Linked DNA regions of Kluyveromyces lactis. The protein of the gene in region 1 purifies or fractionates together with the protein of each later gene. This does not show direct contact. Links are inferred from orthologs where the notes say so. Each region holds a gene or a part of one and is shown on either strand. Other genes may lie near its edges.

Evidence for each region. Proteins that work in one complex are often made in the same cells at the same time.
Region 2: the proteins of MNN9 (region 1) and HOC1 purify together in Saccharomyces cerevisiae (affinity purification with western blotting; 6 studies listed by BioGRID, with this or other methods). This does not show direct contact. The link is inferred for Kluyveromyces lactis from reciprocal best matches to the Saccharomyces cerevisiae genes MNN9 and HOC1.

The regions. Positions count from the first base shown.
Region 1 is NC_006041.1:1,136,375-1,144,008, forward strand, and holds MNN9 (mannosyltransferase complex subunit MNN9), read right to left. Parts: upstream 3,087-7,634; coding exon 1,908-3,086; downstream 1-1,907. Other genes in the region: alkaline phosphatase PHO8, read left to right, coding at 1-1,583; BRR6 (Brr6p), read left to right, coding at 3,616-3,999; RAI1 (decapping nuclease), read right to left, coding at 4,035-5,189; PTR2 (Ptr2p), read right to left, coding at 5,793-7,634. UniProt on the Saccharomyces cerevisiae protein: The M-Pol I and M-Pol II complexes possess alpha-1,6-mannosyltransferase activity and are probably involved in the elongation of the mannan backbone of N-linked glycans on cell wall and periplasmic proteins.
Region 2 is NC_006038.1:1,252,331-1,260,263, forward strand, and holds HOC1 (alpha-1,6-mannosyltransferase), read left to right. Parts: upstream 1-4,662; coding exon 4,663-5,859; downstream 5,860-7,933. Other genes in the region: ATP-binding cassette a-factor transporter STE6, read left to right, coding at 1-139; E1 ubiquitin-activating protein UBA1, read right to left, coding at 266-3,325; Ran GTPase-binding protein MOG1, read left to right, coding at 3,860-4,453; septin CDC11, read right to left, coding at 6,477-7,739. UniProt on the Saccharomyces cerevisiae protein: The M-Pol II complex possesses alpha-1,6-mannosyltransferase activity and is probably involved in the elongation of the mannan backbone of N-linked glycans on cell wall and periplasmic proteins.

The DNA.
Region 1 (7,634 bases):
CCACTTTCTCCCATAATTTTACATTGAAAGATCAAAGATCAACGTTGTTCCCAGGGTTCTTAGGTGGTCACAAGCACCCAAAGAAGAAGAACGTAATATTTTTCGTTTCTGATGGTATGGGACCTGCATCTTTGTCCATGACTCGTTCTTTCCAGCAGTTTACTGATGGGCTCACGTTTGACCACATGTTGAATCTCGATGAATTCTTTGTCGGTTCTTCAAGAACAAGATCTTCAAATTCGTTAGTCACTGATTCAGCAGCGGGAGCTACTGCGTTTTCATGTGGTTTGAAGACTTACAACGGTGCCATCGGTGTGGATCCAAATGGACAACCTTGTGGTACACTCTTGGAAGCCGCAAAGCTTCAAGGGTATTTGACTGGGTTGGTGGTCACTACAAGAATTACTGACGCGACTCCTGCATCGTTCTCTGCTCATGCTGATCGTAGAAGCATGGAACAGTTAATTGCCCAACATCAGTTGGGTGAATATGAATTGGGTAGAATGGTGGATTTGATGATCGGTGGTGGTAGAACTAGCTTTTACCCCAAGGGTGCTGCAGCTTCACCATATGGGATCAGAGGTTCTCGTACAGATGGTCGTGACTTGATCAAAGAAGCTGTAGCAGACGGTTGGCACTATGTTGGAGATCGCGAATCCTTTAATACCTTATCCGAGGGTGATAATGTGAAACTTCCTTTGCTTGCTTTGTTAGCTGACTACGATATACCCTTTGAGATTGATAGATTAGATTCGGAATATCCATCCTTGAAAGAAGAAGCTATGACTGCAATCAACGCATTGTCCAAAGCAACTAGGGATTCAGACCAGGGATTTTTCTTGTTAGTTGAAGGTTCTCGTATTGACCATGCAGGTCATTTGAACGATCCTGCTGCACAGGTTCGTGAGGTCACTGCATATGATGAGACGTTCAAGGCTGTTGTTGAATACGCTAAAAATTCAGACGTAGAAACCGTCATAATTTCAACTTCAGATCATGAAACAGGTGGTTTGGTCACGGCCAGACAAGTTTCTAAAGCATATCCGGATTATTTATGGTTACCTGAAGTCTTGGCAAAAGCACAACATTCGTGTGAGTACTTAGCAAGAAAGTTGATTCAAAAAAAGCTTCAAACTTCTGAGACCTCAAAGGGCAATCTAGTTAAGTTCATCAAACATGAAATTGTGGAAGCTGGTTTAGGTATCAACGATTATACTGACGAAGATATCAAAGAGCTTGAGAGCTTGATCGATACCCCTGGCTTTTTGATGGACAAATTGACCGATATGGTCTCTTTCAGGGCGCAGTTGGGCTGGACAACACATGGTCATAGCGCAGTCGATGTTAATATATATGCATACTCCAACAAGGACGGGTTGAAGTCTAAGATTTTGGATAAACTTGGTGGTAACCATGAGAATATTGAAATTGGTCATTTCATGAGAAATTATTTGGGCCTTGATTTGAAGAAAGTCACAGAGATGATCAAAAACACCACTCATACTCAGGAATTTGTATCTTCCGCTTCAGAGGAAAACTACTTTGAATACATTCCTTCATTCTTGAAAGAAATAGAAATCTAACTCCCTGTTAACATTTATAAAGGTTGGAAAAGACAAAACAATTGCATTCCGTTTCATTGCATAATCGTATGCGATCTGTCCCCATAGATATTGCACTATATCTCCTGCTCTTTGTTTCAAAACTAAACGTGGTAATTGAAGGTGTTATTTCGCTTATAATAATAGTACGCAGAAATATTAATAGTATTTTACATAATAGGTCTAAGTACATAAAGAGTAAAACCAATTAAAGATCAAGACGGTACCTTTTCCCGTTTAATTTAATTGAGGATTCGTTCTACGCAGTACGTTTGATGCTATGTTCTCCCTGAAAACTCATAGCGCTTATTCTTCAATATGGTATACCAAGTAGTTAGGTAGACCGAACACAGAATATCCCAATCTTTTTGCCATCTTAGCAAATGCTTCTGTCTCTATCAAGTGGTAGAATGGGAAGTTAGTGAACATGGCACCATCTCTGTGGACTTCAGCTTTCACTAAAGTACATCCACCTCCGACACCGTCAAGTTCCATTAATGAGTTGGTGGCACCGTTTGCGTCGTAGAAATGGGCCATCAATGGTCTATAAGTCGCAATTTCAGAGTACCCCTCCACGATAATCTCGTTATCTCCAAGTTGTTGGGCCAATTTCAAACCGATTTCGGATTCAGCCCAATTATTGAAATCGTAAGGTCTAATACTTTCCTTCTTTTGATCTTTGTCATAGAATTTTTGATACACATTAGCGGCAAGAACCGGTTTGTTATGGCTCGTTAGGTCTTGAATGACGGTGACTGGAGTTTCAACGATATCTGCATCCAACCATAGAATCCATGAAGTGTGCGGTCCAATGGTAGAGAACAGCAATTCGTTCCTAGCCAATGCCATAGCAGCACGTCTTTCCTTTTGTACTTCTAGTGCGTGTCTATCCTTTTCTCCTAGTCTGTCGAAAGACTGAGACGCTTGTCTCAAGATGGTTATCTTGGCAAATCTTTTATCCTGTTTACCTGTTTGAACCTCTCTTACTGCAGATTCTAATTTCTGTAAAGCAGCATCTCCAGACGCAGTTCTTGGAATAATAAATCCAAGCTCAATCAATGCTCTTGGGTAAGTCAAACTCAACAAATTATTCCAGTACTGTTGATGGAAAGTCTGCATTGGAGTCAAAATCAATACTCTTTCCTTGTTTACTAAGGCATTGCTGGTAGATTTCAACTTGTTCAAATCGTAATGGGCAATGTGACCTTCAGGAATCAAATCGTCAACTTTATCATTGAACAACCAACTGGAAACTTTCTTGTATGAATATTTTGGCATCTTGTACTTCTTTGTATATGGGAAATAAAATGTCTTCTCGGACTGATCTGCCCATTGATGGTTCATAATATCATCGCTCAATCCTAGTACGTTATTCCCACTGGAAAAAACTAATTGAAACACGCAAAATAGCACAAATATAGGTACCACGATGAAAAGAATCGGCGATTTCCTCACACGGTATGCGATCAAAGACATGGAAGCCATCTTTATGTTTATGTTTATGTTTATAAATTAATCAACCAAAACTATGATCTATAGCACTCAATTATCGGCTCAATTTCCTCCTTGATTAATTCTCCCAAAGATTAGACAGCGAAAGTGTCTATATTCAACAGAGCAAGACGCCAATCCGACCGTGTTTATCCTTCTTGAACTTCTAGTAAACTCGCCAAATTGATATTGAAATTACGGCTTTTCTTGTTTTAAGCTATTCGGAAGTTGAGAATTTTCGGCAGAGGGTAACTATACTATTCTATCTTGTTTCTCATATGTTTCTGTGTCCCATTTTGTTTCTTTCAGTGTGAATTTGGTCTTAAGGATTCGATTTCGCCGATTTGAAAGCACAAGTCACGTGGTTTTTTTTTTCTTAAGTAATTGCCGAAGAGCAACCTTTCGAATCACTGATTAATATCTTGGGACGCACATTGCTTGGCCGGGTGTATTGAATAGAGCACCAAATGAACCAAGACCTGTGCTAAGACCTTGGGTTAAGAGCTTGTCATAGCCTCTTCTCATGCACTCAGTGAATAAATTGGTATTCCAGGGTTTACTTGTGGTAATAGTGGGATATTTCTGTTGGACTGTGCATAAAGATGTGCAATGGCAGTTATTGGAACAGCAATGGGTGGATATGAAGAAAATCTCTCAGTGCAAACGATCTTATGTTGAGAATAGATGTAGTGAGGGAATACGGCCGGCTTTAGCTGGGAAATGTGATGAATGGTGGCATTGTGCGCAGCTGGACTCGCACCCCAGCGTTCATCAGATGGCCAATTTATATGCCAAGACACTTGCACACACGTTAAATTCGTTTATACAGGCACTTGCCTTCAAGACAATAATAGTACTGATGCTATTTGTATTGCTTATATCAATTTCTAGTAAACTACTTCAGTAGTTTCTCTGTGTACATATATATCACGTATAAAGAAGTTACTTGCGAAGATCTTTTCTCCATTGTTTGAACGAATTTGATAGTATCTCTTCTCCTTCCACCAGCTGCTTGTATTCTTCGTCGTCAGACTCAATTTCCGTGAGTTTTAGGTGATTGTTCTCAAAGATGAGTTTATAGGCTTTAATTGTGTCAATATCGTCTTCTGGTCTTGGAATACTTGTCAATAACCACTCTGTGAAGGCACCATACCATTTTATGGCATCTACACACACAGTTTGCATCTGTGGGTTGTTGTTCTTCAATATTAGCGGTACCTCAGATGTAGTGAACTCCTCTACAGTTTTGAGCATGAAATTGTCATCTCTAAACCCATATATAATTCTGTTTATTCCTACTAGGAAACACTGTAACCAGGTTTTAAACAACTTACGTTCGAATTTATGCGCATCGGAAACGGTATTGACCATTGTGGTACATTTCAACTCTGCGTAATGCTTCAGGTTGTCATCTGAATCCTCTTTAAAATCAAAAATACAGTCCACTTCTGCACCGATCAATATCTTACATTTACCTATTCCTGTTCTAACCATTGAGATGAATTGGTCCCCATTGTTAATAATCTTTTTAGGTCTCTTTTCCAATGTAGTTCTGGGTACCAACGGTAGTGGCAGCGATAAGGTTGCAAGTGCTTCAAATTTGTAACCACTGTAATATGCCCTTGCCTGTAACGACTCCCTATTCTTGTTAATGGAGGTTTCCGAAGCGTCTGTCTTGACTTCCTTAATGAATAGTTGTCCATCAAACGAAACAATACGGAAATTTACCGGATTGAACTGTGATGAATCAAAAGCACTGGAGATGAGCTTCCGTATGATACCTCTGAACGTAATGATATCCACCTTCGTCTTCTTACTCTTACGTCTCTCATACTCTTCCAAAGTCGAAAGTAATCCATGCAATGTTGTAGAGTCGAATTCTTCCGTATTACACTCTTTGAACTTCTTGATTCCACTTAAAAGATCAAGCTTCTTGTCTAGATCCGTATCTGGCAAGTAATAGTATGCTAGCCTCGAATCATCGTTGACTAAAAATCCATTGTCCTGTGTTCTCGAATAATGACCTAATTCTTTTGGTTGCTTCAAAGCAGTAGTTGTACTTCTTTTTTGAACGAAAAGACTGGAAGATAGTACCATTATGCAAGAAGTCTATTCAAAGCTACCAGGTTTTCACGTTCTGAACTAGTCACCACTATAGAACACCTCCTCGTCAAATGTTTTCTTACATGTGTCTTGGTGATGAGATTCTTTTAAAGCTTTAAATGCATGAAAAATTTCCAATTGTAAAGGCCTTATTGTATGCTGTCTGCAAGATAAAAAGACAAAGAGAGAGTACGTTAAAATACAAAACAAATTATTTCCCTAGGAGGTATCACTGCAGGAAACTATCCTGGATAGAGATATTATAGAGCTTTTAACAATTCAATTGCTATTCATTACGTGTTTGATTACATGAAGGTTCTCTATTTATCGTTGATAATAGACTAGATACAGTGCAATGACCGGTTGATAATGATAATACAATAGTAATAATAATAATATAATATAACCAGGGACAAAAAGAAAATAATAAGATCTCGAAATAGTTCGTGATATGATTGATAATGGATCAAACATGGATTTATTCTTTATGTCAAGACATTAGTTTTTTATGCATTTGTCAGACTGTACTTCTGCCTTGCCAGCGATGAGAGTGTTCTCTCTTATTAACAAAGGCCAAAGAGGAGTTATAAAAGAACATTAAGCTGAGCGAGATAATTGATGCTCTAGATTTTGCTGTTTCTGTTGCTGTTGAACTCTACTGCGAACTGAGGAGACACTGTATAAAGCAGCACCTTCTCCGGTGACACCAACACCTGACAACATTTGTTCTTGTTCTTCTGTCTTGTAATCCAATGCATTCAAGGCTTCTTCATCCTTGTTGTAGTGGTGGAAACATAGCCAGAACAAACAACCAGCAATGAAACAAGCAACAGCCAAACCAGAGAATGTCCAGACGTACTTTGGATTTTCGGCTGTTGGGGACAAGGCGATACCGAGAGCAGAACCGACAGCGTTCGTGACCAAAAAGATGGACATGATGAAGGCTTTCATTGTGGCTGGGGCTTTAGAGTAAGCGTATTCCAAACCAGTAATGGACGCGAAAATTTCAGAAAGAGAAATTAAGACATAAGCAGGAACTTGCCAGCCGATATGGACTCTGTTTGGAGTGTTTGCGTATTCTGGTGCACAGGACATTGGGAAGTCGTAACATGGACCTGCTTTGTAAATAAAGTGTTGCAAGACAGCAGCGTAAACCATGGCACTAGAACCGAAACAGAAACCAATGAAGATCTTGGTAACTGGTCTGAAAGGAGTGAAACGTCTGATAAATGGGTAAATGAATTGTTCCATGATTGGGATGAATACAATTAAAGCAATAGAGTTGATAGCTTGTAAGAAATCATTTGGCAAACCGTGCAATTCCATAGTACCAGCTTGGGTAACGAAATTGTTAAGCATTTGACCGTAAACAACCCAGTAAATTGGGTAAAATGCGAAAACTTTACAAGCCTTGAAAGCTCTTCTAATTTCATCGATGAATAAATCATTCCATGGGTACTCCTTTTCTGGGTTCAAAGATGGAACGGCTCTATTCAAATTGAAACCGTTGCATAAACCAATCCAGCAGATTTTGAAACATCTTGCAATGACATGGTCACCAATGGGCCTCCTCACGTACTTCTTTCTACCAAACACAAGCACCACGATACCGACCCAGAAGAAACAGAAAGTTAACAAATAAGCAGCCCAGAAACCGTAACTAGCTTCTAAATGGGTGGTTGCCATGACAGATAAAGAACCAATATTAATCATCAAGTAGAAGAACATAAACACATTTTGCATTGTAACATTGGGATCTTCGATGACTTTTTCACCGTTCTTCAAAACCTTAATTCTAGGCCTTGTCTTTGGGATTTGATCTGCGATCAAGACGGACAAATTAGCTTTGATAAAACCAGTACCAATACCGATTATAATCAAAGAAACGATAAATCCACCCAACGAGGAGTTTTTATCGTTGATACTTGGGATTGCAGTCATAAACAAGATCAGGATACCAACAACATAGAAACTGGCACCAACACAGATAGTATTATATTTACCCCAGAAAGTATCAGCCAAATAACCACCTAACAATGGAGTAACGTAACACCAAAACTGGAAGAAATACGACAAAGCAGTGGCACCTTGTGATTTCAACTGCAAGACACCCTTTGGTGTGTCGTTAGGACCGTTTTGCATATAGTTTTGGAATGGTGCAGAAAGACCATAGTATGAGAATCTTTCAGCCAATTCAACGATGGCAATCAACCAACAAGTGAATGGAATCCTTTCCGACACATGTCTCAAAGTACTCAACTCTTCTTCGGTAGGTTCTCTTCCATTTTCGTTTTGGTTGTCATCTTCGTCTACAGCACCAATAAAATCGATTTTATCAGAACTAGCATGATGGTCCTTTGAAATATATACCTTGATGTCTGTGTTGTTTTTGAATTTTTCATCTTTCTTCTCACCAGTAAATTCATCATCACTACTAAC
Region 2 (7,933 bases), on another chromosome or scaffold:
TCATTCAGAGCAATTGATGCAAATTTGCGATAGGGTTCTTGTTTTGAAAAAAGGGAAAGTTAAAGAAGAGGGATCCTATGCAGAGCTCTTCGAATCTAGAGGCGAACTATACCGGATAGTTTCGTGCACTAGATATTAACAGAGGATTTTAAATAACGATTGATTCACATGTATGATTTCTTCTAAGTAAGTTTATATCATTAAGCCTAGCATCATAGAGATAGAATTACGAATTTACATCTGGTATCAGACAAAATTAGAATCATTACAAATGGACGGTGACATATGGAACCTCCACGTCTTCACCTTCCTTATCTTCACAACAGAATTCCAAAATCATGGTCTTAACGTGACTGAGGATTTCCTTCTTCGTGACTAATTTTACAACCTCAGTTATTGGAAGATCCATTCTATCCTTTAGTTTTTTTGGAGGGAAGAATGATGCGTATAGTAAAGAAACATCGTAGGAGACCATTGTAATTTCCAATCCTTCTTCCTTGTTGAAGTGATCAATCAACTCTCTTAATGTGATATCACCTTGAATATCGAATCTATCCCATATTTTATCGAAAGTCTTATCATTGTATTTACCCTTTTGTGATGCGATTGGTTCTGAGAAACCGAAAAATGGAAGAGCTAAATTCACAAACCCGTTCTTGTATTGTTCAATATCTGTCTTTCCAGCGACGACTTTGTATAGTTCTAGGTTGACCAATCCTGTAACCAAAGCAGTGGTTGTAGCGATGGCAGGAATGATACGGCCAGCAATGAACTTAGTCTTTTGACGATCAGCTGGTTCGATAGAGTAGTTTAGAGCACGGTTGTTCGATGCAGCAGTAATGAACTCAATATGATGGTTTGTATCGTCATCCTTTTCAAATTCAACTGGGATTAGTTGGAAACCAGCTAAGGTAGAAGCATCTGGCAAAGAAGCTGCCAAGTTTTCTAAGACATCGCCACCAAGCTGGTTGTTCGCGTTTGGATCTGGTTCATCGTCATTGGTTTGAATTTTGATGTCAGCTTTTGGAATAAATTCAGGAACTATAAGCTTTGATAGGACGGATTGATAGTAGTTAATGTCTGGTTTACCATCATCTCCCTTTAGACCATAATTGAACGCACGCAAGTTAGCAGATGCAACGATGAAGTGGAAGTGATCTGGGTTTTCGATATTGAAGACTAATGGTTCAGGGGCACGCTTTGGACCAGACCAGAATGGCTCCCCGGTGGATGTTGTTGCATCCTTAGGGAAGTTGTAAAGAAACTGTTGGATATCATAACTAAACTTCTTTTCAAATTCTAATCTTGCCCATTTGACACAATCTTCAAAGTTGTAAGGTCTATTGTTTAGACAATCACTAATTGATTCTAAGATACCTTTGGCATCTGGGGCTTGTTTCAAAGTTTGTTCTACGAAGTTTGGTTGCGTCAAGTATAGGTTAACATTTTCAGCTGCGTCAGAGAAGTAGCCTTGGAATAGGGATTTGGCCCAAGCGATAGTGTGATCAATCTTATTAGGGAATGAACGCAATGTACACAATGGGATTGACTTTTCAGGAGGGTCTCTTGAAGATGAATAAGATTCTGTCAGGTTAGGGATAACCACTTGTGTATTACCCTTTGTCCCCAATGTTCCCGATTCTAGTAAAGGTTTCTTGTAGAACACACAACGACGGTCGACATAGGTACGAGCATCCACATTATCCAATGCGTTGGTAACGAAGTCTAATTGATTCCAAAAAGCATCGTTGAAAATATTCTCTGTTTCAGCACCAACTTTGTCAATCTTTGGCTCGATCTTGCCCTTCAAATCAGGATTCATTGCACTTACAGCATCAGCAGCAACTTCAGATTTATTTCTGCCGACATCCTTTGGTCTGAACAAGAATTGACGATTCAAATTCGACTTTTCAATTGAGTCATTGTCGGTAACAATAATTTTACCTTCAGGGCCAGAAGCCAAACCTAGTAAAGCCCAATTCTTGAGCATCTCACAACCGATCGCACCTGAACCCACTAGGAATACCTTCAAATTTGCGATTCTCTTTTGGAATTCCAAACCGAATACGGAAATTTGGTTATCGTAACGAGAGTTGATTGGTTTCGTGGTATCTGCATTTCTTGGGAAATCTTCAGAATCTGGTAGAGATTCGATGGAATCGAAATACATGTACTGTTTAATAGGAGTGAACTTACCGGAGGAGGCCTTTAACACTTCTTGAGCAACCAGACCACCGAAGAAAGCAACGATACCTGGAATATCACCTCTTGCTTGGTTAGCTAGTTCTGTGATGAGCTTTTCATCAACTTTCCCCTCAGAACCCAGCACTTCAGGTTGTTGTGTAGCTAAATCTATAACGAGTTTAACTAATTCATTAGAATCTTCTTCATAAAATGGCCTTGGCAATTCACCTTGATGTCTAACTTGGAACTGATGTAGGGCCTGGAAACCCAAGTGTAATTGTGCAGTAGTCTCGAATTTGGCGAAATCCGAGTACAGGAACTCTGGTGTTGCCAAAGATTCCCTTAAAGACTTGAACGTTAATTTCTGTGGCATCTTGACCTCGGTGAACAGACCACCTTTCTTGTATGTACCAAGATCCTTAACAGAACCAATCTTGAATGCGAACGGACCCAACACCTCGACCTTGTAAGGAGTACCATCATTCAACTTCTCAAGACCTTCCACCTCGGAGAATTTGACGTAATTGCCATCTTCTAACCCATGTCTGTTATCGTCCAACATGGTCACTGTACCATCCGACTCGATATCAGAAACAATACCTGTCTTTGGCTCTTCACCAGTAGTATCAATAACGGTAAATTCTTCACCTAAATCGACGAAAACGTTACCAAATAACCCACGGGTCTCCGTAGAAATGAAACCGATACCGTGAGAGTGTGTATACTCATTCAACTTCACCTTTTCTTCTAGTGAAATCGTGTCTGTCACAACAACTACTTGGAATTCAGACAATTGTGACACGTCTTCTAGCCCCTCTAGCACCTTCACTGGCACGTATGAGTTTAATTCGGCTAATTTTGCCTGTGATACTTTATCTCTAGCTTGCCCAATATCTTGTTCTGACAGGAAAAACTGCGTAGAAAGATCCTGTAAAGCGACAGCGCTTGGATCATAAAGGGTTAAAGACTTAACACCGGCCAAGACAACGTTCTTGGCAATCTCGACACCTAAACCTTTTAACCCAATGATCAAAACGTTCGAATGTTGCATCTTTAACATCGCTTCTTTACCTAATACGTACAATTGACGAGAGTACAAGCTCTCGTCAATTTCTTCGCCATCAACCTTAATATTCGTCATATCTGATACTAACTTGTGATGCAATGTGATCAAAATGAACGAACGGTTCACTTCTTGTTGCTATTGTTGTTTTAAGGAAACTGGTTTGTAGTTGTTTATAGGTTGTTGGCCTTATTAATTCGGTTTTTGCCACTTTGGGTTCGGTCACGTGAGTGGTTGAGTTTTCAGTCACGTGATATGAATGGAAGATGTTCGAATACAATACGACAGAAAGTGAAGCATTTGAGGTGATAGTATGGTTCCAAGAGCCCATATAAATTGTTTCGTAAATAATTAATTAATACGAGACAGTAATCACTTGATTTAAACCCATTTGGCATGCTTGAAGCCATCATTGCATACAATAAATGCATTTACACCAGCACACCACATAATATTTGAATGTTCGTCAAATGTGATATTTGATTTTCCCTTACCTTGAAGACGAGATGTCCTTCTCAAGAGATAAAGAGAGAGGGAGAGACTTCGACTGGCAAGGACAGCGCGATTGTTTACTCTACCCACAGTCTGACAACCCTATATATCTAATTTTCCATGTCCCATTGGATCAGACAAGAATTGTACGGCGGTGCCATCAGCACCGTCATTCCCAAGACGTTTCTTGATGCTTCAATGCTAAGGCAAGTACCAGACACACAGGAAGTGTTCGTGAATAGCAGACGTGAGAATGAACCTAGTGAGGATGGGCTCGGGTTCGATGAAAGTGTGATCGTAGACCTAATGCAGCGTGTGGAAGAGAATAATGACAGAAAAGCGTTAGATATCCATTTGGCAGAAATTTCAGAACTCAACGGATCACAGAAATGGACAGTAATTGACCATCAAGAGCAAACGGAACTCAAATCACAGACATGTATCGTTGTTGAGACCGCATACAAGTGGGGCAAACAATCGATGAAGGAAACCGTAGTAATGTGTGTTGCATTGCTCAGGTTGGATCAATTCGATACCGACGTCATCATTTCTGTTCACGTGCCTATCTCATCGGAACAAGAACTGAAGGCCATGGAACAGGCAATTGCGCAAAACTCACCGGAAAAGCTACCTCAAAGGGTGCACGCGTCCTATTCGTTGCTTCGGGACATGATCTCGAGCTTCAAAGTGGAGGATCCATCGTTATTTGCATGATCGAAACCAGGTATAGTAAAAGTATAGTAAATTATATATCCGGGTAATGAATTTCTTTAAGAATGAGTGTTTCAACTATGGAAATGGTATTATCAATGATAAACAATACATACTTATTCCTCCATCAGCTAGACTCTCAACGGTATATCACTACGAGCGGGAGCCCTGGTGTTGATTAGTGGTTCATAACTTGCGCTATCCGTGTGAAGATGGCCAAGGGCAAGAGAAATAACTGGAGAAGGATAGCCACCATTGCAATTCCGTTGGTGTTTGCAGTGGTGGTTCTTTTCAAGATGCTTAACTACAGTACGACTGCTGCAGATTTGCAGACACTATTACAGAATTTACCTAAGGAGATTAATATGGGTTCTTCCGAGCAATCAGACCGTAAAATTATGGAGAAATTTGAGAAATTGAGCCAGGATATGCTAAAGAAACAGGACGATCAGGCAAGAAGGTTTGATAGAGAGAGGAAAGTCTTGGAGAAGAAGATTCAAGCGTTGAAGCAACCTGCCAGACATGCGACTTTGAGAGAGAAGTTGGCCGTTGTGTTTGAGTACGGTACCACTCAGAGATTCCCCGCTTTTGTTTGGCAAAGTTGGCCGTATTCCGATGACGATGACAGGTTGGATCCTACATTGAAAAAATACGAACGGAACTGGGCTAATAAAAACCCTGGTTTCGTTCACGAGATTGTCAACGACGATACTGCTGCGGCGTTTGTGCATGGTTTCTATGCTACAGTTCCTGAAGTGATAGAAGCTTATGATTCTTTGCCTACGTCGATCTTAAAGATCGATTTCTTTAAGTACCTCATCTTGCTGGCGCGTGGTGGTGTCTGGGCAGATGTCGACACTGATCTGTTGCAACCAGTACCCAATTGGATCCCAGAGAACGTGTCTCCAAAGGAAATCGGGTTGATTATTGGTATTGAACACGACTCGAAGACTCCTGATTGGAGATCTTCTTATTTGAGAAGATTGCAATTTGGCAATTGGGTCGTACAAGCCAAGCCAGGCCATCCAGTGATCCGTGAAATGGTCGCAAGGGTCACTGAGACTACATTGGAAAAAAAATACGCTGATGAACTTAACATGAACCTAAGAAACGATCTGACCATTATGGGCTGGACCGGAACTGGTGCTTGGACCGACGTAATATTCACCTATTTCAACGATTACGTTCAAAGTGGTGTTTTAGACAAGATCACTTGGAAACATTTCCATAACTTAAAGGTACCCAAACTGGTCGGAGACATTCTAGTGTTCCCAGAAGTTAGTTTCAATGCGCCACAAGCTGATTCAGACACGGATTCTAAACAGTTGACTAACAGTGCGCTACATTTCGCAACACATACCAAAATGAAGTCATGGAAGAACCAGCAAAAACTCCGCGGCTACAAATAACGATTTATATAGTACTATATTCATATCACAACTTTAAATAATTTTGTTAATCCGTTTCTGACACTAAATCATGTATAAGTTGTGGAACTAAAATCAGAGTGCGCCCAAGCTCTACTAAAAACTGGGCAATTAAAAGACTTTCCTCGTCACTTAAACGAATATCTGTTGTCCCTATCTGGTTACTCATCATCTAAAAGCTTTTCCATCCCACATCTTCATACATGATGTTTTCTTGTCAGAACACGGCACACGCCTCCTGGCATGCTGTGTGAGATAATGTAAAGGAGATTTACTAGGTCATGGTACACCTGGTATCCCTGGTACCCCTGGTACTACCCATTTGGTGCTCAGAAGCCATCCTTCTACCGTCTTTTTCGTCTTATTTTCGGCCTCGAAGTAAGTGGCTTTTATATGGTTTTCGTTCGGGAATTTTTTTCTTAAATGAATGAGGTTTTGCTTGATCGTTAGGGCATCGATAAAGTGTAGCACACGACTAGCAGCCAGTAGCCTGAAATGGTTCGTAATGCTTTATCTATCTTATGGTAATAACTGAGGTATAGGTTAAAGAAAGAAACGAAATATGTAGTTCTATTTAGTGTGCAGGAAGGGACAACAACTTATTGTTCCAATTTGATTCCTTCCTGTTTCAATTGGGCTTCCTTTTCTAGCCTCTCTTCGATTTCTCTTAATTCTTGCTCTCTTTGCAGCAATTCCTGTCTCTTCAATTGCAATTCTTGTTGCACTCTTTCTTCGAAAACCCTTAATCTTTCTTCTTCTAGCTTGATTTGTTCTTCTCTTGCCAAGTAAGTGTCCTGGTTCGATGACGCGTTGTTAGAATGTAAAGAAGTCGAATCATTGTTCCCCAACGCAGATGGTAATCCATTGCCCCTCACAGATTCTCTACCAGATACAGCGGGTGATCCTAGGTATTCGTTGTTCGTGGTGCTGAAAGCTCTGTTATGAGTCGTAGTTCCTACAGTTGGCATCTCACCGGACAAGGCTTCAGTTCTGTATCTTTCGTATAGGATCTCATGAGTAAATTCCTTCATATCGTGTAAATGTGAAATGAGTAGAGTGTTCCTTAGGACGACGAAATCAGAGATGTTAGCATCCTCGACGTCAAGGGTTCCCCATGGATATTTTCTACCACGAATCACGGACCCGTCTGCAGATTCAAACACATCGTTGGAACCGATGATAGAGAAGGGCAGTAAACCTCTGAGATATGTGTTTGTTTGATAATCTTCGTCTGACGCGTCTTCCTCATCGAATGGGAAGTTGTAGATAGGTAGCGAATAATAGTCGATATCCTTTGCGATCAATTTCTTGTTCAATTTCAACTCTTCAGCGGTCAAGGAATCTGCTTTACTGATAACGGGGATCACGTTCACTAGAGTACCTAGTCTTCTGATGAATTCCACGTCAATCTCTTTCAATCCATGTCCAGTAGGATTGATCAAATATAAACAACAATGCACCCTACCATCTTTAAACCGAGGATTTCTCCTTACACGGCTCTCTTCCAACAAAATTTCATCGTACTGGTGACGAATGTAATCAGAGATAATGTCAAACGATGGAGAATTATCCAAAGAGTCGCCGAATCCCGGAGTATCAATGATATTCAATTGGATCTTAAGACCTTCTTCGTCTTCTAACTCAACGATTTCTTCCCTCAATTGCACATCAATCTGCGTATTTGTGTCCGTTGGTAACATAATCGTGGTAGAAGTATCTACCACTTTCTGTCCACATAGAGTGTTAATGAACGTCGACCTACCGCACCCAGACTGACCAACAACCATCACCGTGAACTGAATTCCTCTCTTCAAGTTCTTCCGTTTACGCAAAGCGGCAGATGCCTGAATAATACTTGCCATTTCTGTCTAAATTACAATTGTAGCAGTGCTTTTGTTTCCCAATTCAATACCCCGACAGAAATTAGGTGCTAATAAGACCTCTGAGCAGCTCTTCTGTTAATTGTGTTGTTTACGTGTTAGTTGTTTGTTTAAAGTTTCACGTTTCCGATCTGATTCTAAATTCGTTACTCTGAGGAATCTGGAATTTAGTATGG